Linked DNA regions of Drosophila melanogaster. The protein of the gene in region 3 purifies or fractionates together with the protein of the main gene of each other region. This does not show direct contact. Each region holds a gene or a part of one and is shown on either strand. Other genes may lie near its edges. The genes, in order: polybromo, Elys, Bap60 and erm.

Region 1 (7,692 bases), on a different chromosome or scaffold from region 3:
AGCTTCAACGTCTCTAACGCCTTCTCCATGTCCTTGAAGCCAAATTTCGAATCTCCCTCTGCCATTGCTGCTCCTTTGGTTGCTAATACTTGGGTGAGTATCTGTCTGCTTCCTGTCAGCGCTAGAATACGACTGATTTTGCGTAGCCGTCTCCAACTCGACGGCATATGGCACTTAATCATGGGAGGAAGACGCAAAATGAGCACCACTGAGAGGCACTGATCAGAGCTGAGCGTGGCCAATTAGATAAGCACCACAAAATAACTGGGTGACTCTATGTTTGGAAACCGGTTTGTTGTCGTAGCACCGGAGCAAAACAAAACCCACGAGAAAATAATCGATACTTAGCCATGACGTCAGCGCCACGAGAAACTGATAACATTGAGAGGAAATAAACGATCTTAAGTATTAATTACCTAATTAAACGCCGCTCTGCATATTAAAGCATGTAATATGACATTGCTGTCGTTATATTTGCAATCATATTTATTATGATATATTTTCCCCAATCAATACGAAAATTGTTATAATTTGTTTGTGTTGTTTATTAACATGGAACTCAAAAAGCTTTGGGCTTAGCGGTGAACGATGGGCTAGTTGCAACTGCGCCGTATTTGAAGTATATCGTCGACCATGAAGTTGCGCAGGTGGCACAGTGCCTGCACCACGTTGCCCTGGTCGCGCAGATTCGGTCCGATCCACTTCTCGGGTAGCGCCGTCTTGGCCACCACCTGTGCGGGTGTGATGTGGGTCAGTGCACGCCGCCAATTGTTGTTGCAGGTGACCACGTTCAGATGGCTGCCCGTCTGCAGGCTCTCGATGTACTTAATGTAGGCCTCCGAGTGGATGACGCGAGTGGTGCGCGGCGGCACTGTGACGAAGAGCGGCTCTGGTGGCGGACCCAAGACGATCGTTTGCTGTTGCTGCAGTTGGTGCATGTTCTGCTGCGGATGCTGCTGCTGCTGGAGCTGCACTGCCTCGAGATTGCTTGGAGCGCGCGGCGATTGCGCAAGGCTGGGCGGGATGGGCACAGTAGTGGCCAGTTGCGCATGCTTCTGCCGACGCGGCACGAAATTCTTGCTGCGGTCTGCCGCCGAAATCGTCTTGCCACACTTGCTCAGATGGACCTCGCGCACATGCTTGATGAGGCGCAGAACGTTAGGAAAGGCCTGAACAGACTTCTTGACCCGCGGGCAGTTGCGCCACAGGCAGACATACTCCGTCTCCACGCCCGCTTGTGGATGGCGCTGGATGTGTCCGGTGCTATCGGACATGCAATGTTCCGTGCAGTCGCTAAGCTCCTCGAACTGAAAGTCGCACTTATCCCACTGACACTCAAAGGTGAGCACCTGTCCAAAGACATCCTGCGAAACTTGGGATGAGGGACTCGCACTGTTCTGGACGTCGTCCAACTCGCGCCGTAGGGCCGCCGTCTCCTCATTCTGTCGGCTAGCCCTATCCTCCCAGCTCTGCTTAACGCTGGAGGGCAGATTCTTCCATTCGGTGCCCACCATGCGGGATATGTCTCCAAAGGTTGCGTCCGGGTTGCTCTGGCAAATGCCTGTAAAAGAAAGTTCAACGGTTATACATGATCTTTAAAGTATACTAAATAAACGTACTTTTTCGAACTTCACTAGAGTACAAAATGTAACCGGTAAGACATTTTTTGGCCGATTTGGCGGCCTTAACTTTGGACGTCAGTGGCGTGGAGTTTACTGAAGGAGCCGGCGAGGACATGGCCGCAATGTCTGAGCTCAGCGAGGGTGTATCCCCATCCATTGAATCCTCTAGCATGCCCAGTTCATTCAATTCGTTCTTAAAGTCCTTGGAGGGCTTAATGGGAGTCTTAAAGTAAAAGATCTCATCCTCGGTGACAGAAGGACTGTGTTGGAACTTGCGCATGTTGCCCGTAACCAACTTGCGAAGAGCTTTCTTTAGCTCATCATAGACGGACTCACAAATGTACACATCGCTTTCGGATATCTCCGTGGGTCGGGAGCTGATAAATTCGGAGTACTCCAGGACGGCGCAACGACCCACGATGCCCACCACCGGACTGACCTCTTCGACTGTGCTCAGCAGCAGTTCCTGGCGATAAAATTGCTTGCCCAAGCCGGGGGTCGTCTCGCTGGGTGGTAACAGCCATGGACCTTTAAAGTATGATTTTCCATTCTGCTCCCAAATCTGCTGGACCTGTGCCACCGACTGCTTTCCTGTTTGGGTGGCCACGTAAACAAAGTCTCCCGTTTTTATGGCCCCACTGCAAATGGTGTTGTACTGCTGGTAGTACGTGCTGCCAACCTCAGCATTTGGCGGCGGATCGCAAGACACATTTGGTTTCTCCTTTTCGACCAGCGTCTCTTGGAGCTTCAGCTCCTCCAGTTCTCCTTTGTGCTTTTCCAAACGCTCCTTAAACACAGACATCACACGTTTTAACTCCAATGGCTGCTCTCGTGGAACGAACTTCACCGAGCTGCCTTCACGGACTGGCGGCCAGCTCTTCAGCTTCTTGAACCAGCGACCTTGGATATTGTAACGAGACTCGCAAACGTAAACATCCTTTTCAGGCAAGTTTTCCGGACGCATCTTGATGTAATCCTTTATGTTCATTACGTAGCACATGCCCTGCACTTTATCCATCGAGATGGTCTGCGAAAGGCTGCTCTTGAACACTTCCTTTTCGAGGAACTTGCGAGTGGTTACATGGTACGTTTCGTGGGGCCGTACAAAGATCGAAGCCTGCATCAGCTTCTCATTGGTGGGTGATGTCCAGAGGCGCTCTATGCAGCATATCGAGGGAATCTTGTTTTCCGGCATTTGCACGTATACGTAATCGCCGGGAGAAAACACCTGCTGGTTTATTGTCATGCTTTCACCCTTGGCTGCATTGAATTCATCCTTCTCCTTATCCTGCTCTTGGTCCTGTTCCTCTTGTTGCATTTTTTGCTGGCGACACAGCTCCACATCAGCCATAAGGCGTTCTAGACTAAAATTTAAAGCGGATGAGCTAAGTGTGTCCTTGCATAACTCGTCTCTCTTGCGAATGAAGTATGTTTGCAACTCGATGGAGTCCTGGAAAAGTTTGTTCTTAGAATAGTACAATGCTTCTATTATTGTAGTTATTACTCACCTGAAAAATATCCGAATCTGTGCGGGACAACTTTCTTGCACGTTCCAAACAGGCAAAAATATCTTCCTGGTAAACATCAAGCCGTTTGTAAGCTCCTTTGTCAAGCCTTCGTTTTACAAGGTCCAGCGAAATGCCGCGAACCTTGGGTCCTTCGCCAATCTCATCGTACTCCGGCAGTTCGGCCAGGGAATCCGAGTAGCAACGTCCCTCCTCGTCCTGGTGATTGTAAATAGTCGTGAACAGTGTGAGGAACAGCTCCTGAACAGCCAAAGGAACATCCGGAAGAGAATCGCGCTCGGTGCGCAGTTGTTGCTTCAGCTGCAGTGTCAATTGTTGTAGCACGAGCGCATCCTTGTAGATCTGCGAGTCTGGCTCGTTATACTTGCAGGCGTTCTCCAGCATCAGCAGAAAGTCCGCTGCCAAGTCATCTAAGGTATCATAAGCGCCCTGTTTAAGTTTCTGAGCGATTCGGTCCATGTCAATAGGTTCCCTGATAATGTCGTAGTAGTCCGGATACTCGCTCTTGGATGGCAACTTCGTAAATATAAGCGACAGCTGCCTCTTACCCTTGGGCTCCTGGTACTCCTTTACTGTTTCATAGAATTGCCACAGCCGCTCTGTAATTACAGCGGTCTTTAACTTTCTTCCCACCTTGCTGTACTTCTGCTGGCTTTTTTTGCCCTCTGTAAGACCAGGGAACTCCTTGAGCTTTTCATTTAGAGCTCGTTCCAATATATTGGCATCCTCGTATATGTTAGAGCCCTCCTCATTATACTGTCGGCAGTTGGAAAACATAAGTCGATAGTCGGATACCACGTCCTCCACGGCGGCATAGCGATCTGTGCGAATGTTATGCTCGATAGTGTTCATGTCAATGGGGTTTTGAATGATATCGTAGTAGTCCGGATAAATCTTGCGAGGCGGCTTTTCCATAAACATTTCGATGGGACGACGATTGCCCAAGGAGTAGTCCACCAAATATTTCTGTATGCTCAGAATCTTCTTTTTAATAGCCGCGTTGATGGCAATGCGATTTGATTTGGGTGAATTCGAGTTATTTGGTGTATGGGAGGCGTTAGAGTTCGAATTGGAGTTGATGCGGGGTCTGCCCGGCTTGCGCTTTTCCGGCTGCGTGCTAACCGTAAATACCTCTGTGTCCATTTCCTCTGCATCCTCGTCATCCAGATCACTGCCCTCCTCGAGAGACTCCTCCACCAGCTTGGCATTCATTAGCTTTAACATTTTCAGCGCATCCTTGTGAGTGCGATGGGACGTCGGAAACGCCTTTTTGGCGTTGTCCAGCATGAGATATAGATCGGCGGTGAGATCACTAATGTTCGCATAATCGCCCTTTTTGAGCTTTGTGTGGATTTGGCTCATAGATATGGGTCGTTTGATCAGCTCAAAATATTCGGGATGGAAACGACGAACTGGCAGTTTCCATAGAGAGTTTCCCAATGGAGGACCAGTAACTCCCGGATGTTCCGAAGTTCCTGGTGCGTTGTACAAGTGATCGAACAATGCCCACATGGGCCCCTCGCCCTTTTTGCTGGTCTCCTCGTCGTCCGAGCTGTCAACCTCCTCTTTTAGTGCTGGAAAAAGAATAATTTATATACAAAAAAGAAAAAAAAATGTTTTTTTTAATCTTACCAGCAATTGCTGCACTGGAGAGACTCTTGACGCGCTTAGCCAGCTTGCCTTTGCCCATCTCCAGCTCAATACGCCGCTGCGTAAAGATCCGTTTCAGGGATTTGGCGTCCTTATAGATCTGAGAACCAGGCTCGTTGAACAGACATGCGTTTTTGGTCATTTGTAGCAGATCCCGTTCCATCTCCGCCAGCGAGGAGTAAGCGTTCATTTGTATTTTGGTCGCAATCAGGCGCAGATCAATGGGATGCTCAATGACATCGTAGTAGTCTGGATAGATTTTCTTGGAGGGCAGCAGTTGGAACATGCGGTGCATTAACCGATCGCCCACGGGATCGGTAGCGGTCATAACGGAGGCGAAGAGCTCCTCGTACTGGTTGTACTCGTCATCAGTTGCTCCATCGCCACCAGGTTCAGTGCTGCTGGTCATTCGGCGCACTTGGCGCGACATGCGTCTGGCACGCGGCTCCTCCTCCGCCAATCCATTTGCCTCCATAATGCGCTGTCTCTGCGAATGAATGTGCTGCCACAGAGAGACTGCGTCCTGGTGCTCGCTACTGCCCGGTATGTAGAAGGCCTTGGCATTGCCAATAAGCAGCTCCAGGTCGGCCATCAGATCATCCAAATCGTCGTAGGAATCGGTTTTCAGCTTCTGCTGAACCTTGAGCAGATCAATGGGATTGACCACCACGTCATAGTACGAGGGCTCTTGCCGGCGCTTCGGCACGCGGATGAAGGTGTCGCACAGCATTGAACCGTCCTCCTTCTTTATGTTCCTTATGGAATCGTACAATTGCTGGCACAGTTCTGTGGGATCGAGACGGCGCTTTTTTCGCGCCGATTGTGTCGTCGTCTGCTGCACCGGTGACTGCTCCGGCGTCGAGTCGTCCAGCTGCAGCGGATCCTCGTCCTGCCGGCTGGATATGCTGCTCGCCCGGCGCTTGCGGCTCAGCATCGTGTTATCCCTGTTCTTATTACAGTTAAAATCTAAATATCCGATAATAAGACGCCACACAAAATGCCACAAATTCTGGGAATGAGCGAAAAAGTAGTGGTGGGCGAAAGGTTCGATAGTGCGCGGTCGATATATAGTTCGATAGCCGGCCACTTGCGTGGTGAGTTATCGTAATCGAAGCGCGCGGTGGTGAATATTATTTTAAATGGTATGTTCCCACCAAAAATCATATTTCTTAACCAAATAAACAAGCTGAACATCATTTTACTTAAGTTCTTTATTATAGCATCCCTAAAGCATCATTTAAAGTTTTAATTAAGTCATTGAATCACAGCAATATCGTAGGTAGTTTTCCTTAAATTAGCTCCTTCTCGAAAAAAGGCATTCAAGCCAATAGAAACAACGAAGTTAGGCTGAAAAAAAAGTTAAACAGAACAATATTTAATTTAAAAGTCAGCAAAACGCAAGCGCGCAATTAAAAAGCCATGATATTTCGATTAATTTAGTAAAATGCTTTGTTTATTATTATTTTTTATCACATAAGTTTTAGACGCTTGTTAGTGTGTGATTGTGTGAATATTGGGTTACAGATTTGAGTATGCCGTAAAATGAAATGAACACGCCTCATCGTTTCGCTGCTTAAGGAACATTGTTAAAATCTTATAAAAATAACTGAAATATACGTGGATAAATAGCGAAAAACATGTATGAAATGGAATTCACTCTGAACGACAAGAAACGAAATTCTAAACTACGCCTACTGCAAATTGACTGCGGCTTATGTTGCACAATTACATCTTCTATTTACATGCTAGTTATTGGCGAGATTTCTGCGAATATCATGGTACACGAGTGCCATTGTTCTGTGTTTACTGGCACCACAGTGATATGCTGGTGCACTGTGAGGACTCTGTCTGTATAAAGTACAACAATTAAGCACAACAGTTAACATTGCAAAATTTAAATATTAGTATCAGTTCTGCACAACTATACGTGATCATATAACATATGTAAAGGTATATTATATAGTTTCAGCTGCCCATCTCCCATGTTTTTCTCGTGTCTTAACAGTTCATTTCGTTTGCCTTGCGACTAGCGGTGGTATTGCGACTGCTCTTACGACTAAGGTTACGATACTTGGTATAGAAACTTGTTAGGCTCTTTAGCGGCGACTCGACAAGGCGCCTCACCTCCTGTCGGTTTATACAAAACGCATTGTCGTGTCGCTTGCGCCAATATCAGTTGATGAAGCTAATGTAGTTAGTAAAGAGCACATAGTTCTCCACTAACCGGGCTCTTAGCTCCCGGCGCACCGTAGCCGTGAATTTGTTTGCCAAGCACAGGGCAGTTGTGGTTCCAAAAACCAAATTGTAAAGCAATACAATCTGGAAGTTTCCCAACCACTCGATGGCTCCAAAATCACCCAGCAGGTCAAAGTTTGTGATGCCTGTAAGAATCAATAATAGTCGCTTTTAAACACTGTATTATTCATTAGTAATTTGCCACAGCCTACCTATGATCCTGCTGAGAAGCGGCAATGCCGACGACAAAACCAGCATGAAGCCACAGTTCAGCATTAGCTGTGGCAGCGAAGTCTGGCGCCGCTTGGGACAAACCTTGCGCATGAACGGCATGCTGTAGAAGCCCACCACCGAGGTGGCGCCGAGATAGAAGATGAGACACACCTCCAGGCCGGCACCAAAGGGACCCAACTTCGAGAGCGAAGAGATGCCCAATGCGAATTGCTAAATAAGGGAAACAAACTCAATAAGCATTCGTCTTACGATCCCTGCAGTTAGACCTACCCTTGTGCTTAGTGGCAGCGCCTTAATGCCAATAAGGAGCTCTAGTGTATTCTGCACAACCAGCAGAATGGTGACAGCTGTGCAGAAGAGCAGCAGCAGCATGGCCAGCGGATAGACGAATGTGCGTTGGAAGGTGCTCGATGTGCGCAGCTTGT
Region 2 (7,946 bases), 6.5 Mb from region 3:
TGCTCATCCGCCACATGTTCGACCTTCACAACGACCTGCTCTTCGGCTTCTGCGTCGACATCCTCTTCTGGAATTTCCCCAAGACCACTAGACTGCGTTGCTTGCCCTGCTGGCAAGGGTTCCAACTCCGGCACCTCCAGCACCTCCAGCACGTTCGGCACCTCATCCACCGCCATCTCGATATCCACATCGGAAAGTACTGGCAAGGGTTCCATCTCCGGCACCTCCAGCACCTCCAGCACGTCCGGCACCGCATCCACTTCCATCCCGATATCCATATCGGCACGTGGCTGCTTTTGCTCGCTAAACTCAACTGTGGCCACTGACTCGTTGCTCGGGGTCTCCTCCTCCATTGGCCAATCCTTTCGCTGCTCCGGCTGAGTATCCTTTTCCTTCGCCGTCTCCTCATCGCTATCTAGGACAATGGTGTCGGCCACATCCGAGTCGCTGTTGACCGTGGCGCCCAGCGAAAGGAATGGACTGGGGACACCAGCCGCCTCCTCCTGACATTCGTCCTTGAAGGCGAACAGCTCCGCACTGCTGGAGGCCGCCGATTGCTGGGGTCGGGCGACATAGCCGCGCACTTCTGTTCCATCCAGCGCTATGACGCAATCATCATCGTCGTACTCCTCCTCTTCCTCCAGCGAGCCCTTGGTGGTGTCCAGGTCGTCAACCGTTTCCAGACTATTGGCGCGGTACAATGAGATCGGCGTGCCATCTCCATCCTCGCCATGAGGTGCCTGCGGACTAGATGTCTGTGATACGTTCGTGTCGCTGGGCAGGAATGAGGTGGGCGTGTGCGTAACCGATCGGGATGTGGTTATGGAGCCCGGCGACTCAACAACGATGGAGTACATTGGGTCATCGGTGTGCAGTGTTGGCAGCATGGGATTCCGAATGCCGGCCGAGGACACGTTCGAGTCTTCGCTACTGAGGCTGTAGATGGGCGAGGAGAGGGGCTCCTGGGCCGTTCCTTCTGAGTTGCTTAGGAACGCCAGCTGACCACCGGTCGCCAAAGGCTCCTGCGCCTGATCCTCATCCTGATCCTGCTCTTGCTCCGGCTTCTGCTCGTCCTGTGGATTCTGTTGCTCCTCAAGCGATTTTGTGTCACCCAGCTTCAGTTCCTCTTCGTTCTCCACATCCTGAGTATCTTGCTGCTCAAGTGACGCCACATCGTAAGTGGACATTCCCAGCGTGGTGTCCATCATCTGGTGGTGCCCCTGTATAGCCGGCCTTGCTGATGGCAGAGACCACTGTGCGCTGGGTGCGGCCGTCAATTCTGCACCAAGATCGGTGGATTCCATTTCGCCACAGATGGTAGTGCGCTCGGAAATCTTAATCCCACAGCTGCCGCTGGAGAAGACCTGTGACTGCGTCTCGCCCATCTTGGACGAGCAGACGGTGGGCACAAACTGGGAATGTGATGACGTCTGAGCCGGCTGGACAGTGCTGAAGCTACCGAATCCACTACTACTCTCGCTCCCTGTTGCAGTACCAATCTTGCTACCGCTTCCATTTCCCCCATGTAGCAATGAGTTTCGGGGCTGTGGTCCTGCTGGTGGGGCGAAATAATGAGGAGAATTCCGCGATGGTACCGGATCCACCAAAGACACATTGGCCGATACTAAAGGCGAGAGGAACTCATCCTCCTCGTCGGACTCATAGCTGCAGGCGCTCCTTGGTTCGCTTCTTGACTCGATCTCCACAATGATCTCGTCAGTTTCCTCCTCACCCTCAGCCGCACCTTCGCTGCCCATCTCCGTCGATTTATCAGATTTATCAGTTCGCAGAGGAATGGGCGGCACAAAGCGAAATCTTTTTGGCCCCGCCAGCGCTGTGAATGTAGCCACCGGCGGAGCTCTCTTAACGGCATCCACGGCCCCGCTTCCCTTCAGGATCGGTGGAATCGGCTGTGGCGAACTGCTGCTCTGGCGTATCGTCGTCGACTGTCGCGCCTGGAGGAAATTTGGCGGCTGCAATAGATTGGTCGCCTCGTTTTGCTTGACCTCTTCCTGCTCCATTTGGTTCGAACTTTTTTCTCGAATGGATCTCACATAGTCTTTAACATCCTCCACCATTCGTTCAACCATCAGACAAGGACGCTTATTGGGACGCTCCGTGCCTAGCTGCCTCTGGTCCTGTAGATTGGTACGCTGATCCTCTAGCTCCCGCTGTCGTTTCTCCACCACCTGGTGTGGTACCGGCTTTACTATGCGCCGAGGAAGTGGAAGCTCCGAATGTCCGTATTGCGCGTGCCGCAGGAATGGCACATTGGTGTAGCCTATTTTTGATTGGATCGAAACGGGAGTCATCTTTGGAGGGGACTCGCATTGCGTTGCCCAGTGGGCACTGACGGCAGAACTCTGAAAGATGCCGCCCAATTGGCCGCTGGCGTTCTGTTTGACCAGCTGGCAGCTGAATGGCTCCAAGGGACCGGTCTTTTGGTAGGGCTCCAAGGTGTCTCTGATGCGAAGATACGTGCCGGCGATGTTCTGTGTAACTGGTCCCATTGTAGCGCTGTATGCTGGGAGTATTGTATTGGATGATTCATCTCGCTCCCGCTCGGCGGCCACCTCATCCATAAAGGACACGGCCTCGATGAACTTGCTCTTTTGAAGCAGCATTATCAATTGCACGCAATCCGTCTGACGCGATCTGCACTGGCGCAGTAGACTGTACAACAGCCGTTCCTCTGGCTCTCGCAGGTACAGCTCGGCCAAAACTTTGAAGCGTCTGATTTCAATGCAGTGGCGGAAGAAGCGCTCCAGCAGCGGCTGTCCATCCTCGTCGTCGTCGAGGCGAGCGATTTGGAATGCTTCCGTTATGTTTTCGTTGGCTAGGAGCACTTTCATGTGCAGCGCCGAGGACAATGGACCGGGTGGTCGACTGACCACCTTCTTGGCTGCCTTGACGGCACCTTCAGCCAGCAGTTTATCTATTAACAGCCGCATCTGCCACGATTTCAAGTTCTTAGCGGGGGCAGGCTCCTTGTATAGCTCCTCTACGCCTCGCTGTAATCAAATACATCACAAAACGAATGAATATAACACTTTCGCTTATATTAACCGATCCGAACTCACCTCGTAATCGCCGTGGTCCAAGTACCAGAAGCAGCGCAATGACGTGGCCAGATCTTTGTCCAGCTGAAAGGCAATCTGAAAGCGCCCGACCAGCTGTTGGTTCAGGTCCATCAGCAGGTAGAGGATAAGAGCATGTTTGTGACAGAGTTCTATGTCGGGACTGAGCATCAAGTGTATATACGCATGCAGCGAGTCCGGCGGATAGGGTTCCGGAAAGGAGGCGCGTTTTCCCAGAGAATCAATGTAGAGGATCTTTCCCTGCGCTCGTTTTTCCGAGTACTCGTGTTGCAGGCGAACGAAGGCCTGCTCGCCGGGTACCAGATTATCCATGTGCTGACCCTCCGGCAGGAGGCCGTGATCGATAAACCAAAGCAGCACTCTTTGGTACTCGAGAACCGTTTTCAGCGCCCTCTCGTTGGCACGGCAATCGTCCAAAATTGAGGAGGTTAGCCTGCGCCGTCCCTGCTCGACAATGTAGGACTGCAATCGTACCAATTCACGCAGCTGACCGGATAGCACTTGAAACTCGCGCCGTTCCCGCTGGTCCAGTGGATAGCCGCCGTAATCAAAGATGCCATGGCAAAGTTCCGAGCACCTCGTCTTGATCTGTCCGGCGCGCTTCAAGATCCAGTTGGTCAGCGTGGACAAGGAGAGTTGCGTGTTATCAATCATGTTGCACAAGAAGCTGCCATCCATCCAACTCCGTGCGCAGTCGTTAAGCAAAGCTCCGCAGTTGTGCTCCAGGGCCACCGACAGTATCAACTCGTACATGGCAATCTAGAGAGCAAGATAATGCAATGTTACTTTAAAACGAGTATAACGAGCATGATTCATTTCCCCAAAGACTGTGGTACTATATGATACCAGAAGATTTCCGGATAACTGATAATAATAACCTAGTGTGTAGCTCACCTTAGAGAATGTGGCGTTAGGGTTAAGCTCACAAAATTGTGGCAGGAGACGCAGGCGAACGATGTCCTCGTGGTAGATCTGAGGACGCAAAAAGAGCGTGGCACGATCACAGCGAAGTGCGTTCAGAAACCGATGCTGCACTCCGTCCTGGGCGTAGTACCGTTTGCCAGTTGGAGTTAACAGTGAGCAATCTGGAAATAGACGGTATTACTTGGCTATTAATCTTACTGGCGCTGGCTTCAATCACCGCTGTCACTTACCAAAGGTTAGTGAGTTGGGATAAAAGTGCTCATCGTAGCGCTGCAGTGAGACAAAGTGCAATATGGTGGTGGAACGCAAATCCAATGCCAGTCCCGTCTGTAGACCACTGAGTATGTAGCCGGACATGTAATTAGGAACTTCGTTTTTGTGAACGGATGTGGGCATCTCATCCTTGTACCACTGATTAATGTCGAACAGGACTAGCTTGTTCTTTTTATCTGCACTTGAGTGCCACGAGATGACAATCAGCAGCGTTCCGTTGTCGCCGGCAAAACTGAAAGTAGACGCCGTGGCGCAGCCGATCACGGAGCAGATGCCTCCGTCCAAGATTTGGCGGTTGCGCACGGTTCTAGAACGGTAGTCCTGCGAAGCAAGAAGTCAATATTGGTCTGTGCGTGACGGCTCAAGATTTCTCACCTTAAAACGGATCGTGTGGGTTTCCCGGTCCCGGTACGAGCCCCTGTAGCAGACCGAGTGCAGCATCATTTGCAGGACGTCGATATTTTGGTACAATGCACAGATGTAGAAACAGGGTTTGGGGTCATCCGGTGGCATAATGAGGCACATTCGCTTCACTGCTCTATTGACCCCTTTCCTTTTTACTGGCGAATTCAGATCAGTGGTCACGTCGAAGTTGATTAGGTCGTAGATCAGGATTCGGCCGTCTTCTAGACCAGCAGCATAGCCGGGCGCCATGCTAATGCCCATAAGGCAACTGATTCCAATGGATGCCACTGTTGGTAAATTGAAGGTTAACCTAGCTACCATGGCACACTGGCAGTGACAGACTCACCGTCCATCCGCACAGCCAAGTGAGCCCCTTTGGAGCGACAATGGGTCAGCTTGGAGCTGAGTTGCCTCTTGGACTCCTCGGAGGATACAAAGTATAGGTTCCCGTCCGACGGCTCATCTTTGGAACTGGGGGAGCAAAGGCTGCGCCTTTGGGTACTCGCCTGCAGGCTGTCGCTGTTCAGATCAACCAACAGCACAGTGCCTTCCTCGGTGGCCACGGCCAGACAGCCTTTAAACCGTCTCAGTCGCGTGAGTCCATAGATTCTTTTATCGAGGAACGTCAGCGCGCTGCACGTTATACCGTGAAGGTCGAAGCGGCGGAGCACCTGACTGTTGCGAATGGCATAGATGAGCACCTGCGTGCTCAACGGGCAGTCGATGGGTCTCTGATCGCCGCTGTTCCATGACTCCAGGCAGATGGCTAGCATAGCGGGGCGTTCGTGTTCGCCGGGGAAGAGCTCCTCCACGCAGCGAATGCTTTTGCGCGGCCCCAGATCATCGGATTCGCTCCAGAAGCAGTGCCAAGAAAGGTAATCGCCGGTGGACATGCTGCAGACCAGCAAAGTGGCATCGCTTCCATACCGCCAGGTCACCCAGCCCCATTGCCCGTCGCGTATGATGCCGCCCAGGTATTCGGCTGTAAAGGGATAGCGGAGATTCTTGGTGAATCGGTTTCGGCACACGCCGTATTTTGTGCACACTTACCGGCGTCCAAATGTGCCGACGGCTCCCGGCCAAATCCGGGTACTATGCGCTCCGGGAACGCAATCGTGCGGCTACCGTCCAACTCCACTTCGTGCCACTCCATCTCTATTTCATCAATGCCGGCCGCTTGCAAATAAAAATAAAATTATAAATACAGCGCTCTTGCACCGATTGATCGGCGTGTATGTTTTGTGTGTGCGTGAGTGTGTGAGTGCCTGAGCGGCCTGGCGTTGCCGCCTCGATTTGGCATACAAAAAAACCGTTGTTTTGCTTGTCGTGTATGCACGCTGAGTGGCCCAGTGCTGGCTAACGTCCGACAGAGATTCGCAAATTTAGCGATGGCAAGGACTTGAGTTACTAGTTACCATATATTTCTGTACATTTTCAATTTTTTCTATATACATGCTTAAACAAGTTTGTAACTGAGAGGCAAGCCAATCATTTGAAGAAAAGACTAGAAGCCGGCACTTGCAGCCTGGCAACTTCAACACCAGCAGACTGGCAACGCTGCAGAATTGCGAAAATATTGCGCGAATTTCATAAGGAACTCAACCGGCTGGCTTTGCATTTGAAGTCCGAATGAACACAGATAGTAGCAACCTTGAAGCGTAATGCCTTGTATCACTCAATTCAGGCATATATAGCTCCGAGTCAAGCTCTTAGTACATACAATAGCAACAATACTATCTGGCAACTTTCGTGCGCCGCTTGTCAACCCTGTCCCGTGCGATTTGCTGCACATTGTTCTAAAACAACCCAGCCGGAAAAGCGGTTTCAGTAGTGGTCTACTTCTATATGCGACTCAAATGTGAGAGACCTGACCAGAGGCTGTGTTCCAGGCAATAGGCGCTACCCAGGGCGATCATCGGTGCCCACAGGCAATCCCAACCAGAACACCAACACACCACAATCCCAGCTCACGCATTCCGCATTTCGCACACGGAACAGACCACACAACACACAGCACATAGCACATAGCACACACGCACACAGGTAGCGGCAGCTCTTTTAATCTTCCAAAACGTTGTCTGGCTCGCTGGCTGGTTGGCTGGCTCCACAAAAGCATTGGTCACAGACAACGCACGAGGGGATCGCGGCGGAGATCGAGAGGCTAGGCGAGATTTGGGTTTCGAGCGGTGGGCAGGGGCAAGCAGAGGTAAGTGGAGCACATGGCGCCCGTTGCAGGAAGAAGCCGCACCCAGGAAATTTGTTTCAATTCCAATCTAACGCAATACCCACAGGTAGACGCTAGCTAGCGATGTCCCAGCACGGAGGCACCGAGGCTCTGGCCGCCGAACTGGCCTCGGCCATCGATCTAGTCATGAACCCGATGACACAGCAACAGGCGCGCCTGGAGGCCTACATGGCCTGTGAGCGGTTTAAGGAGGAGTCGCCAATGTGCGCCCAGGTGGGCCTATTCCTGGCCAGCTCGCCGCAGTCTAACCAGCAAGTGCGACACTTTGGCCTGCAGCTGATCGAGTACACAATCAAGTACCGATGGAATTGCATTACGCACGAGGAGAAGGTGTACATTAAGGACAATGCCATCAAGATGCTGAACGTGGGCGTGGGCCCGGCGGAGGACCGCTCGCTGCTGCCCACGAAGGACGCGCTGTCGCGCATCATCGTCGAGATGATCAAGCGCGAGTGGCCGCAGCAGTGGTCCGACCTGCTGCCGGAGCTAAGCCAGGCCTGCACCAAGGGCGAGGCCCAAACGGAGCTGGTGCTTCTGGTCTTCTTGCGACTGGTGGAGGACGTGGCCCTATTACAGACAATCGAGTCGAATCAGCGGCGAAAGGACATGTACCAGGCGCTAAACAACAACATGAACGACATCTTCGAGTTCTTCCTGCGCCTGGTGGAGCAGCATGTGACTGCGTTCCGCGAGACAACGCGTCTGTGCAACTACACCAAGGCGAACGCGCACAGCCGTGTCGTCGAGATGGTACTGCTCACGCTGAGCGGCTTCGTCGAGTGGGTCAGCATCCAGCACATCATGTCCAGCAATGGCAAACTGATGCACTTCCTCTGCATCCTGCTCAACGACAAAGCATTCCAATGCAATGCGGCCGAGTGCCTGGCGCAGATCACGAACCGCAAGGGCCAGACCAAGGAGCGAAAGCCGTTGCTTCAGCTGTTCAACGAGGAGCCGCTGCGCTACATCTACCAGGCCAGTCAGATACCGGCCGACACAAG
Region 3 (4,551 bases):
CGAGACGTAGTAATCCGAGTCCGTCTTTAGTTTACTAGTGATATTAATCCTGTGTTGTAGTCTAAACCGTTTAAAGCTTGTGCGTAAATCGTTAAGTTAAGAAGCATCAACTGAAAATGCGTTTTATACAATTTTAAATCAACAGCATCAAAGGATTGCAGAACTATGGAACTTACTAAAACACATAATTTTAAAGTATAAATTATGAAATATTGTGAGATGACTCAAACGCTGGCCTTTCACATTGTTAGATTGGTCAGCTAAAACCCTACAATAATATATCCAAATGTAGATCAAAACGTATTTTAGAAACAATCAGTTAACATGAAATCGTATAGGATCGTAAGGCTACAAGTGATTCTAAAATCTCAATTAACCAACAAATGCATTTTCTAAAATTTAAAGGGAACCCAAAAGTATCAAAAGGCTAAATATATATAAAGTCAACTGAAATCACTCGTAATAAAAATTAAACTTTAGTGTTTCTAAAAGTGAACCGAATCAAATTTTATAGACAGTTTTATATTTGTATGCCATTTTATTAGCTTACAGTTAAGTCCAATATTTGTGCTGGATGTGGGTATTTGGGACAACTGCAAAGGGGATTTTCGTTTTGGAACGGGATGGAGTTCGGCTTGTCGGAAAAAAAGGAAATATTTTAAGCTTAAACTAAACTGGCGAAGGAAAAAGAGTTTGCCGTGCGCACGGTTTATGGAGGTCTCTTGACGGTGGACTCCACGAATTGGCTGGTGGAGATGATCAGCTCATCATTCACCTAGCCGTTGCGTATGCCCAGCGCCTGCTCCAATTCGGCCCGCTTCTGGTTGACCTTGGTGAAGAAGTAGCGCGAAACGGCCTCGTGCGTCCATGGCTGGTAATAGAACTCCGCCCGACGCTCCTCCTCCGGATTGCCAGCTACATCGGTCATCAGCTGAAAGGACGAAAGGTTTAGACAACGGTATGAGGCAAAAAAGAAAAAAAAAGAACTAACCTTCAAATCCCTCGTCTCACTGATGATCCAGCGATGAATAAACATTTGTGGATCCTTGGCGAAGCTTAGGAAGAACTCCCTGTTCGTCTTCATCTGGTTGATCGTGTCCACCGTCTCGTGGATCTTGGTGTCCAGCCCCTGGATCTCCTGTTGGCTCGCAGTGCTCATCAGGAAGCTGTTCATCTGGTTTTTGAGCGTATCATCCACCTCCACATCGATGTCGTAGCAGGCAGTCTGCTTGTTCTCTGCACCGCTCTCAATGAAATGATTGATCACAATCGGATCGGGCGGATGCAGCAGCGGATTGAGGCGTTGCGGTATCTCGGCAAACTTCATCCGCTGGCAACTGAATATCTGCTCCAGATACTTGTCGCAATTGATGTACTCCCGCTCGTGGGCATCCTGTAGCTTGTGCGTCTTGATGTACTGCCACAGGGCGGATATGATCACCGGCCTGGTCTGTGTGTGTACGCCCAGCAACCTGGCGAGTCGCGGGTCCAGCTTGAACTGCAGCGGCTGGTAGTCAAGCAGCAGGAGGATGGTGCAGCGCACATTGCGATCGCCCGGCCGCTTCACCTGGAACCCGTCCGTCTCCTGGGTGGTGTGAGTGCGATGCCACTCGACCAGATGGTTGTCCGGACCGTACAGTTCCTTATCCAGCTCGATAACCAGCGACTTGAAAAACGACGAAAACTTGCGTTTGATCTTTGTATTGGGATCGCCCTTGCCATCCTCTAACAGGCGACCCTCCACCCGCAATTCCCAAGAGGCAACGGCGCCCTCCTCGCCATCATTTGTGGGCTCCTTGCTGGGATAGAATGTGTTCGAGATGAAGATGCGCAGCTTGCGCTTCTGCTTCATGGGGCGCTTGAGGGCCTCCTGGATGTCCAGACGTTTGCGCATTATGGTGGCATCCAGTTTTCGCTCAAACGTCAGCAGATCCATGTACGCTTGCGATTCGGGCACCAGATCCCGCACCTTCTGCGGCAGTATCTTTTCGGCCAGCTTCTTTTTCTTTTTGGCCGTCGCAAAATCACTTTTGCTACCACCGCCACCCAAACTGCGGGATTCATTTGACCTCTTGCTGCCTCCGCCGGATCCAACACCGCCACCTCCGGCTCCAGTACCGCGAAGGCTGCTCTGAAAGCCCGGCTGTTGGGCGGCGCGCTGCAGTAGCGATGGTCCCGGTACGCCGGGTACTCCAGGAACTCCCGGTACCCCGGCCACGTTCGCCGTGCCGGGAACAGGTTGAGTAGTGTTCGGATGCAGGGGAAACCCGCGCGGCTGTTGCGGATAAGATTGTACATGCTTAATTGAAACGGTAGGTGCTGGATAATGCGTGGAAAACTCACTGGAAAAGAGGCGCCTGGCGGCGGATAGGGACGCATGCCGGGCGCCGGTGGTGGTGGCTGATAACGCGACTGCACCGGCGCTTGGCCAGGTGCAAAGCGTTGCGACATCTTTGCTACGAAGTCCTCCCTTTTTTCCAGCCGTAAACAATTGCCCTTTGCAGACGAAGGAAAATTTCTGCCTTTTTGTTTCAATACAACAACGCGTCAAACACACACACAATTTCGCCTGTAAAATGGCGTCAAAACAGGGATGCACTATTACTGGTGGTGGTCGACTGGGCGATAGATATTACAACGTTTGGCAGGGCTGCGGCTATCATTTTGCACTTTAATCGAAGTTATTCATTTCAATAGAGTTACAGCTATATAGTTGGCTTTGAAAATATACTTAAAAACTTTCAAGACATTTGTAACAAACAAACAATACGATAAGGAATATACTAGCACTTGCTACTATCGATCGAAAACATTGGTTTGCCCAAACGCTCGATAGTTGCAGTGTCAAGCCATAAACATAAGCAATATCGATAGTCGCCAATAAGTTCGGACAAGTAACGTCTTCTGAAATCGAAGAACGATAGGTTTGAAACCGACTGTCATTTTAACACAGAAAACAAATGGAAATGGAAGACAATTGGTGGGTCACCAAGTTAAAGGCTCTGGAGTCGAAGCCACAAAGGCTGGATGCGCTGACCGCCATGAACTCAGCCATCGCAAAGGAGGCGGCTCTTCCGCGTCAAATAATTGAACGCCTGCTGACCACGGACCAATTGTATGACTGCGCCAATCCCGCCGCGGATTCCCATGTTCCCAAGGATCAGGCCGTGGACGTGACCCTGGAATTGCTGTGCCACTGCCTTGATCAGCTGGCGATGGACACCGCCGACGAGCAGCTGTCCAGTCTGCTAAGACGTGGCTTGACCCACTCGAATCCAGCCTTGCGTGCCCAGGTGTTGGCCAGTTTGTTCAAGAAGCTGCTTCGCCAGTTGACCGTCGGTCAGGTTCTCACCCTGCCCAACAATGAGCTTATTTTCCTCATCTTGGACGAGCTGAAACAACCGGATACGCAGAGTACCTCTCTGGCCATCAATATCCTATCCATCGTGCTGCCTCAGCGAATCAGCAATGCCGATGTGCAGGCAAAGCTAGTACAGCTCCTAAAGCAAAATGAGATCGTGCGCTGTCGCGCCTACGAATTGGCAGTGGTCCTGGCCAAGAAAAGTGCCACCTTACTCAGTGACGTTACATTTATTCTGGATGCGGCTCTCAGCGAACTGGATAACGACGATGTTTTATTGCAGGCTAGCGTAATGGAGCTCCTAGTGCCACTGGCCGAACAAAACCATGGTCTGTCCTACATGGAACGTCGTCGCGTTTTGGATATAATCAGCTATCGGGTCCAACGCGTCGAAGAGCATCCGCTAGACGCCCTGCTCGTTCCCAGCATTATGAAGTTTTTCGGCAAAATTTCCGTATACCAGCCTCTGAAAATCATTGGCGGCTACCCGCACATGCTGGCCTGCTTGTTCATGCAGCTTCAATCGGAGGATGAGAGTATTCTGCCCACTGCCATGGATACGCTTGCCAATTTGGCCACTACTCCACAGGGCAAGATACTGCTGAACATGCACTTTAGCGGGGCCATGGAGAAGTCCTTTAAGAAGTATGGCTCGCATACTAAGAAGCTATCGGCGCACATCAAGAAGAGGCTGCTCAACTCCCTGGATGTGATTTATGACTTCAAGACGCCGCCTGCCACAGAAATCATGTAATGCTTAACTCTATAATTGAAGTTTTTCTTCTAATGATTCTCTTCTTTTTCAGTAACATTGGTAAAAACTGGTACGAGTGCTTCGCTGGGGGAGCGCATGCTAATATCATTATGGACCTGATAAACACTCCGTTCCCCGATCTTCAAATGGCCGCCTTGTCGTTCTTGAAAACCATTTGTAAGTACAACTGGGGCATTGTAGCTCTAAAGAATACCGGCGGTGCTGTGGAGTTCCTTCTTTCGCGTCAAAAGGATCTGCACAGGGACATTAAGTATATGAAGTGGCAAATTATGGAGATTCTGTCCGCTAGCGCTGAGTTTTCGCCCACCGAAACCATCCGTTTCACGGCCTATGTGAACGAGGGACCCTATCACGTCCAGGCGGATCTCGATGTAGCCACTGAACCTCAGGGCAACGCATAGAAAGCCGGATGGCA
Region 4 (6,623 bases), on a different chromosome or scaffold from region 3:
TGGTAATTACTAAGGTTATATGTGTTCATATATTTTTCATACACTTCCACCGTGCCTTATTAATTGAGCCGCCTGACTAATAAGGATGCTTCTGTTGCATTTTTATGAGCGGGCTCAAGAACTTCAACCTTCCTGCTCCAGACCCATTTCCACGCCGGTATTCCTGACTTTTCTCGAGCCACAGATCAAAGTGCTATGCAAATGATTGAGGCGTGTGGCAGGCCCAGGCCACCTGCGGAGTTTTCCCGAGTGGAAGGTGAAAAAGTGGGGGCTGGTCGGCACTAATTAAGTTGCAAATGTCATGCGGCAGACGTGGCGACAGTTTAGAGCCCATTAAACGCGACTCTTGGGCCCGAGTAATGCAGCAATAATTGTTTTCATTTCGCATCCATTTGCATTATTTAGGATCCCTCCACTCGACTCAATGACACCCCACACTGTTGCTCAGTTATTTGCATATGTGCATATGAAGATTATATACGCTTTCCCAGCATATCTAAACACCATTTTCGTTTAATAATTGAAGAATTGGTTTATTGCTTAAACAGTATCAATAATATCACTTAAGACCTAAACAAATACAATGCATTCATGGATCTTTGTTAAAATGTTTCTCAATTTCATTAATTTGCGTTGGGTTACACAGACACTTAGGGATAGAGTACGTACGGATATCTAGTGCAACTCTAAGATACATTTCCATCTATGTATATCGGTTGACAGACCCCAAAAAGCTGTAACGCAATGTTAAAAACACCTTTTTCTATATCGAAACGTGTCCTGGAGGATCTGTGTAGCGTGTCTACACGGAACTCAGGGCTTTCGGTATTGGCGACTAACTAGGTAAATCCTTTAACTACATCTATACATCGAGAGAGCTGCTTAAGTAGAGTGTTCTGTGAGACTTCTTAGGGATACGCTATGTACAAAATGCTGCTTGGAGATGTGGGCTGAGCGTTGGGATCATCATCGTCATCATCATCTTCTGAGTGGGGTATTGCACAAGTTGAAACCATTTGGTGGCTGCTGAGGTTCTGCGGGGTGGGTGGAGGTGGACAGGGGTCCTTCTGCCTAGAAGAGACCGTTCAGTGCGCGGACAGCACTGCCCAGAGCAGTGCATCCGAGCTCCGGGGACGGGGATTCGCCGGTATCCTGCCCGGAATTCGAGCTGCTCGCAGCGGCCGCCGCTGCCACAAACTGCAGTCAGTCGATCAGCAGATCGCTCCTGGAGGTGGCCATCGAGGATATGGCCGTGGTGGTGGTGGTCACCGTGGAGCTGGTCGTCGAGGTCGACCCCGTGGAGCTGTTCAAGCTTTCCGCATAGTATCGCTGTCAAAACACCTTGGCTATGAAGGTCTCCGAGAGTCTTTGCTGCTGCTGATGGTGTTGCTGGCTTTGCGGATGTGGCTGCTGCGGCTGGAGTTGCAAGAAGGCGGAGCCACTGGGATAATCGTGAGGTGGAGCCACTCCGAGCTGGTGATGGAAGCCACCGGGCGGATACTGCGAAACGGCGGACCTGGGCCAGGCGGGATTACTCGTCTCGCCGCTGGAAAGTGGCGGTGTGGTGACATTGATGGGCGGCGACATGCTGCCGGAACTGGAGTCCGGCGTGAGTTGACCCGATGCCTGGCCGTAACCGGAGGCAAGTGGCTCCCTGCGCGTGTACTCGCGCCGCCTGTCGTAGGTGGGTGGCATGTCCAGGTCATCCAGATCGCCGCCGATCTCGTGCAGCTTCCGCATGTGCTTCTTCAGATCGAAGTTCCGGCAGAATCCCTTGGCGCAGACGCGGCAGGTGTAGGGCTTCTTGTCGTTGTGCGTGTGCATGTGGAAGGTGAGGTTGTAGACCTGGTGGAAGGCCTTGTTGCAGATGTTGCACTTGTAGGCCTTTTCGCCGCTGTGGGTCAGCTTGTGGTTCTTGTAGTTGCCCTTCTGGTGGAACCCCTTGCCGCAGTACTCGCACACGAAGGGCTTGTAGCCGGCGTGGATGCGCGAGTGGGTGTTGAGGGTGGAGGAGCGATTGAAGGCCTTGCCGCAGGTCTGGCACTTGTGCGGCTTTTCCGACGTGTGGATGATCTTGTGCCGGCAGAGAGTCGAAGCCTGGCGGAATCCCTTGCCGCAGACCTTGCAAACAAACGGCCTGGCTCCGGTGTGGACGGGCATGTGGCGGGTGAGGTTGTAGTGGGCGTTGAACACCTTGCCACATTCCAGGCAGGAGAAGGTCTTGGGCTTGCCGCCACTGGCCGATCCGGGACTGCTGTCCTCGATGGATCCTTGCGGCGAGGGGGAGCGGGATCTGGCTCCAGTGGCGGAAGTGGCAGTAGACGCTGGAGGCGGCGTCACTTCGCCCTGATCCTGCGGCGATCGTTTCCTCTTCAAGTTAGCTTGCAATCCCGAACTCTGGGCTGTTCTCTGGGCCACTGGCGACTTTTCCAGGGTATGTTGCAAATTGGGCACCGCCTGGGATTGGGCCACTGCCGCCACGGCAGCTGCCGCGGCCAGTGGATGACCCAGATTTCTTCTCAGCGACTGCGAGTGATGCAAGCTGGCATTCAGGGATGCGGTGAAGCTGCTCAGGTGGGCGGCGCTGGCCAGCGATTGCTGTTGGGCGGTAAGGGCTGCATATTGGGCGGCAGCAGCGGCGCACATCAGCTGATTGGGTGCATAGTACAGCAGGGGATACTGCGAGAGCAGCTCCTGGTGGCGGGAGCTCACAAACTGCTGCACAGCAGCGGTGCTCGGCGGCGAGGCCACCGATGAAGTGGCGCCCGAACACGGACCCGGCACATACTTCTTGAAAGCGGAGTCATAGTTGACAGTGGATGGCGACTGATCCAGGCTGATCACCTCGATGGGGCTGCAGGAGCGCTCCGAGTCGGCATCGATCTCCGGATCCTCATCCTCGTCGTCATCGTTGGTGGCGAAGGAAACCGGAGCGGGCTGCGGCGGTGGCACTTGGCTGGGCCTGTGATCCGGCTCCATGATCTTGGCTATCGAAAACTTTAGGGGACACGCCCGCTTGGCGCTCTGCTCGTCCTGCTGCTGGCTCTGCTGGGCAGGATTCTGTTCGGAGGCGGCGCTCTCCATCACGGGGCTCTTCGAAGGCGGCATCATTGCGATTTCTCCCGCTGGACTACACGGTTGCATGCCACGCGGACTCTGTAAGAAACGAACAAAGAGCCAAATTGAGTATGCAAACTAAGCAACGGGTTATCAATTAATCGAAGGCATACGCCTCCATTGTTTGTGGCCACAGTTGGGGGGAAATAACTAGGATAAATAACATTTCTGGTTCCCATACCTTTCTAAAAACTTCTTGCCTTCAAAAGCATATATGTAAAGCATATATTTCGGTTTATAATTATGAATATAATAACAACACCTATTCCCAAGTTGCTCGGATTTCAAGTGGTCCCTATTGTTTTGACCGCAGCTGTACGGACTATTTACCGCCTGATCAGTCAAGTGCAACTAATGCGTTGGCAATTCGGGAGCACAAACAAACGCCAGCGGAGGGCGTGCTCCCAGCGGCAGGACATTTCCGCAGGATAATTCAGGGCCAGCCAGCGGGTTGCAATTAAACGCAAACCGCAGTGCGTTCCATAATATTACCCGATCGATTTTGCATACCACGCTATTTGCATTTAACCCGTGCTTTGCCCTGGCTTACACTCCACTTAACCCAAACAAAGACCTCAATCCTTTCGCCAGCATATTGCCATCAATCATAACACAGGCCCAGTAAGCAGTATGCGAATTTTTTGGCGCGGGTCTTGGCTTTATGTGAGATTCATTAAATCGCTTACACTCGACTGGAGGTGTAAGGCCGCCTCGCCGCCTCGCCGGCTCCATCTTCCCCATGTGCCCTCGAGTGTGGCTAATGTGCGACATCCGGTGCGATTACCGACTTCCTTGCCGCTTTTAATTAACTTGATTTGACGCCTCAGCAGGCCCAGCTCCCATCTGGGTCCGCAGTTCGCCCATCTTGCAGTTTCCCTTCCAAAGTGCGCTTTAATCTCATTAAACGAGAGGCGGCAACCATTTCACACGCTGACCCGGAGGCAGCGGCGGTCAGCCCTCGATCCCAAAGTTTCCCGGGTGCCAAACTACTACTACTACGAACGAGTAGTTCCACTTTTAAGCAGCCGAATTATGTTGGTGTTCTAGTGGCCACTTCAAAATTTGCCTCTACGAACGCCACTTGGGGAGTGCGAACCACATCGAGCTTATTAACCAAGTGCGTGGAATAATATTCAATCAACGGAGCACACAGGCACTTGGAAACTTTGTCTTGAGTTGAACAAGTGGCTATGCCCTAGCACATGTTAGAAGTTATGAGATGAAGCTGGCTTTTGATGGGGTTAATCAAAATCATAAGTGTTAAGAATGATGGTAAAGATACAAGACGAAATACTATCTAAAGAGGACATAGACCTATGTAAATGCCTGCTTTTCTTACGAACGTCACGCAAATAGCTTCGAAATGCTTCTAATATGAAAAAGCGAACTTGTACTTTATAGTTTTTTCCTTTTCCCGTCGGAGTTTTGCAATTACAGAGTAATAAATTAAGTTTTTATGTATCGAATACGTACAAAGTAAACCATATTCAGGCACTGCCTATGTGGATATCCAGTTCCCTTGGCAGGCGGCCGATCTCCACTTGTTAGAGGCAAAACACAACAGTTGGCACACACAAATTGAACTTGGTCCTTTTACTTTACTATTTAAAGTTCACTTGTTTCGTCGATAAGGATATACGCTTTTTAAATGCAAATCGAGGGACGCGAGGAACAGGACGCGTTCAGCACAGGATCAGCGACCGAAGCGGAATGAAGGCAAACAGCGAACGGTGCGGGCCTTAAGAAATATGAAAAGGACACACGGCGAGTGCTGGGGTGAATCCTGGCGAAACAACCCCCGAGAGTCCTGCGTGCTGCCGCCGTTGGCGAGAGTGAGAGATGAAATGCATGCCGAGGGAGAGAGAGAGATGGATGCAGACGTCCTGGTCGAGCGACAGAGCGAGATGGATTGATGGGAGCGACGGGCAAAAGGAGAACTTAATCATCACGTTCAGATTGGAGGATATGTCCTGACGCCGACGTCGCCGTCGACTGCGACTGCATTATGAATGAAAAGACAAAATGTCGAATTGGAATATTACGGCGAAAGAGAGAGGCAGTGAGCAGAGACCGCCCCTAAAATATTTATATAGAGATAGAGCTCAAGAGCCCAGGAAGATGATACATAGAGGAGTGACGAGATGGAGGAGGTTCCGCAAAAGAGGGAGCGCACTATGCGTAGCACTCGGCTGCTGGAAAGAGACCGATGGACGGACGGAGAGATGGATGGATGGATGGATGGATGGGCCACCTTTGGCCGTATTCCGTTCACACTTGATTTGGATGGGGCGACACCAGACACCAAGAAATGGCAGCCACCGGCCTCGTGGATGCCTCTCGAGTTGACTTTTTCACTGGCCCACCCCTTTCCCCGTTCCCCGTTCCCAGCGCATCCCCCTCCTGGAAAGCTCATGCCTTTTGTTGGGCGTTTCAATTGTCGTTTTGGCATTTCGTTTTATCAGCGTCTTTGTTTGCTCACCTTTAGCCCGCCAGCGGGCAAGGATTCTTTGATTCTCTCCAATTCTTCATCTTTTTTTGCTATATACAGAGAAAATAATTCACCCGTAATCCAATCAGTAATCCCTATTCTATGTAGGAATGTTAGTCGCAGGATAAGCATCAATCGCCAATTTTTAAAGATTGTAAATTGTATAAAATTGGTTAGATAACTTTATATTATTCTTTAGCTTCCCTGTTCTCTAGGTGCACCTTTCTCATTTGTTTGATTTGAAGCCCCCTGCATCGCCAGCCAGCACTAGTTAAATATAATCCCATATTCATTTTGATGGCATCTCCAGCGCGGCTTTCTTGACTTTGTTTGCTCTGGCAGTGCTTGTCGTCCTGCTCCACCAACTCCATCCGTTTGCAGGACCACGGTCCAGGACCTTTTCTTGGGCAATGCAGGGCACATGGCTGCTTTTGCTGGAGTTGAGCAGTTCAGCAATTGCAGCTGCAAGGCCACACAAAAGCACAACTCTTCGGCGAGTCCGACGGGGAGCGTGGGGGTTTTAGTGGATCCTTCAAGGACTATGGCCGCCATTTCGACTGCATTTTCCGTTAATCTGGCTTGTTGTGCGGCTCTTGTGTGGGGAAATCGATATGCAAATATCAGCTCTTTGTTGATTAGGTTTCCTCATTGGAGTAATGTTGATTGGATGGGTTGAATGTGGCAACCATAAAAACTATTGTACAATATTTGTAAACTATTTGTTTGATTCCTTTGAGATGCCGACGGGTAAATCTACTTTAACATGAAAATTCATGGAAATTCGTAATACTATTATAGGTGTCTTCTACTGCCTAATTTAACAAGCTTCAATATTGTGTGAATAATTCCAATATTTTAGTAAGCATACGTTCGACGAAGCAAAAACAATCCGGTGATTATCCTTGACAAAAAGCGGGCAAAACAGCGTGATTAACTGGAAGCTAAATGAACGGCACATACTGAAATGTGCAATCTGCATTTAGTTGAATAAATAAACGCAGTGAAAAAAGGCAGCAAC

What was found.
Region 1: the proteins of Bap60 (region 3) and polybromo purify together in Drosophila melanogaster (affinity purification with western blotting; 2 studies listed by BioGRID, with this or other methods). This does not show direct contact.
Region 2: the proteins of Bap60 (region 3) and Elys purify together in Drosophila melanogaster (affinity purification with western blotting, with the first as the bait; one study listed by BioGRID). This does not show direct contact.
Region 4: the proteins of Bap60 (region 3) and erm purify together in Drosophila melanogaster (affinity purification with western blotting; one study listed by BioGRID). This does not show direct contact.

Annotation. Positions count from the first base shown.
Region 1 is NT_033777.3:24,799,441-24,807,132, forward strand, and holds polybromo (polybromo), read right to left. Parts: upstream 5,820-7,692; 5' UTR 5,733-5,819; coding exon 4,781-5,732; intron 4,723-4,780; coding exon 3,131-4,722; intron 3,073-3,130; coding exon 1,620-3,072; intron 1,562-1,619; coding exon 594-1,561; 3' UTR 527-593; downstream 1-526. Other genes in the region: Ude (Uracil-DNA degrading factor), read right to left, coding at 1-65; lili (lilipod), read right to left, coding at 6,971-7,179, 7,246-7,477, 7,538-7,692.
Region 2 is NC_004354.4:19,650,363-19,658,308, reverse strand, and holds the start of Elys (elys), read right to left. Parts: upstream 6,005-7,946; 5' UTR 5,854-6,004; coding exon 5,751-5,853; intron 5,683-5,750; coding exon 5,047-5,682; intron 4,988-5,046; coding exon 4,671-4,987; intron 4,617-4,670; coding exon 4,253-4,616; intron 4,184-4,252; coding exon 3,993-4,183; intron 3,858-3,992; coding exon 3,081-3,857; intron 3,012-3,080; coding exon 1-3,011. Other genes in the region: Ranbp21, read left to right, coding at 7,009-7,946.
Region 3 is NC_004354.4:13,156,923-13,161,473, forward strand, and holds Bap60 (brahma associated protein 60kD), read right to left. Parts: upstream 2,587-4,551; 5' UTR 2,452-2,586; coding exon 2,344-2,451; intron 2,276-2,343; coding exon 992-2,275; intron 932-991; coding exon 776-931; 3' UTR 523-775; downstream 1-522. Other genes in the region: CG12096 (uncharacterized protein), read left to right, coding at 2,961-4,111, 4,168-4,537. UniProt on the Drosophila melanogaster protein: Involved in the recruitment and site-specific anchoring of the Brahma complex at specific promoter sites.
Region 4 is NT_033779.5:1,949,724-1,956,346, forward strand, and holds erm (earmuff), read right to left. Parts: upstream 4,831-6,623; 5' UTR 4,603-4,830; coding exon 4,591-4,602; intron 3,157-4,590; coding exon 1,333-3,156; coding exon of another isoform or gene 1,072-1,332; 3' UTR 516-1,071; downstream 1-515.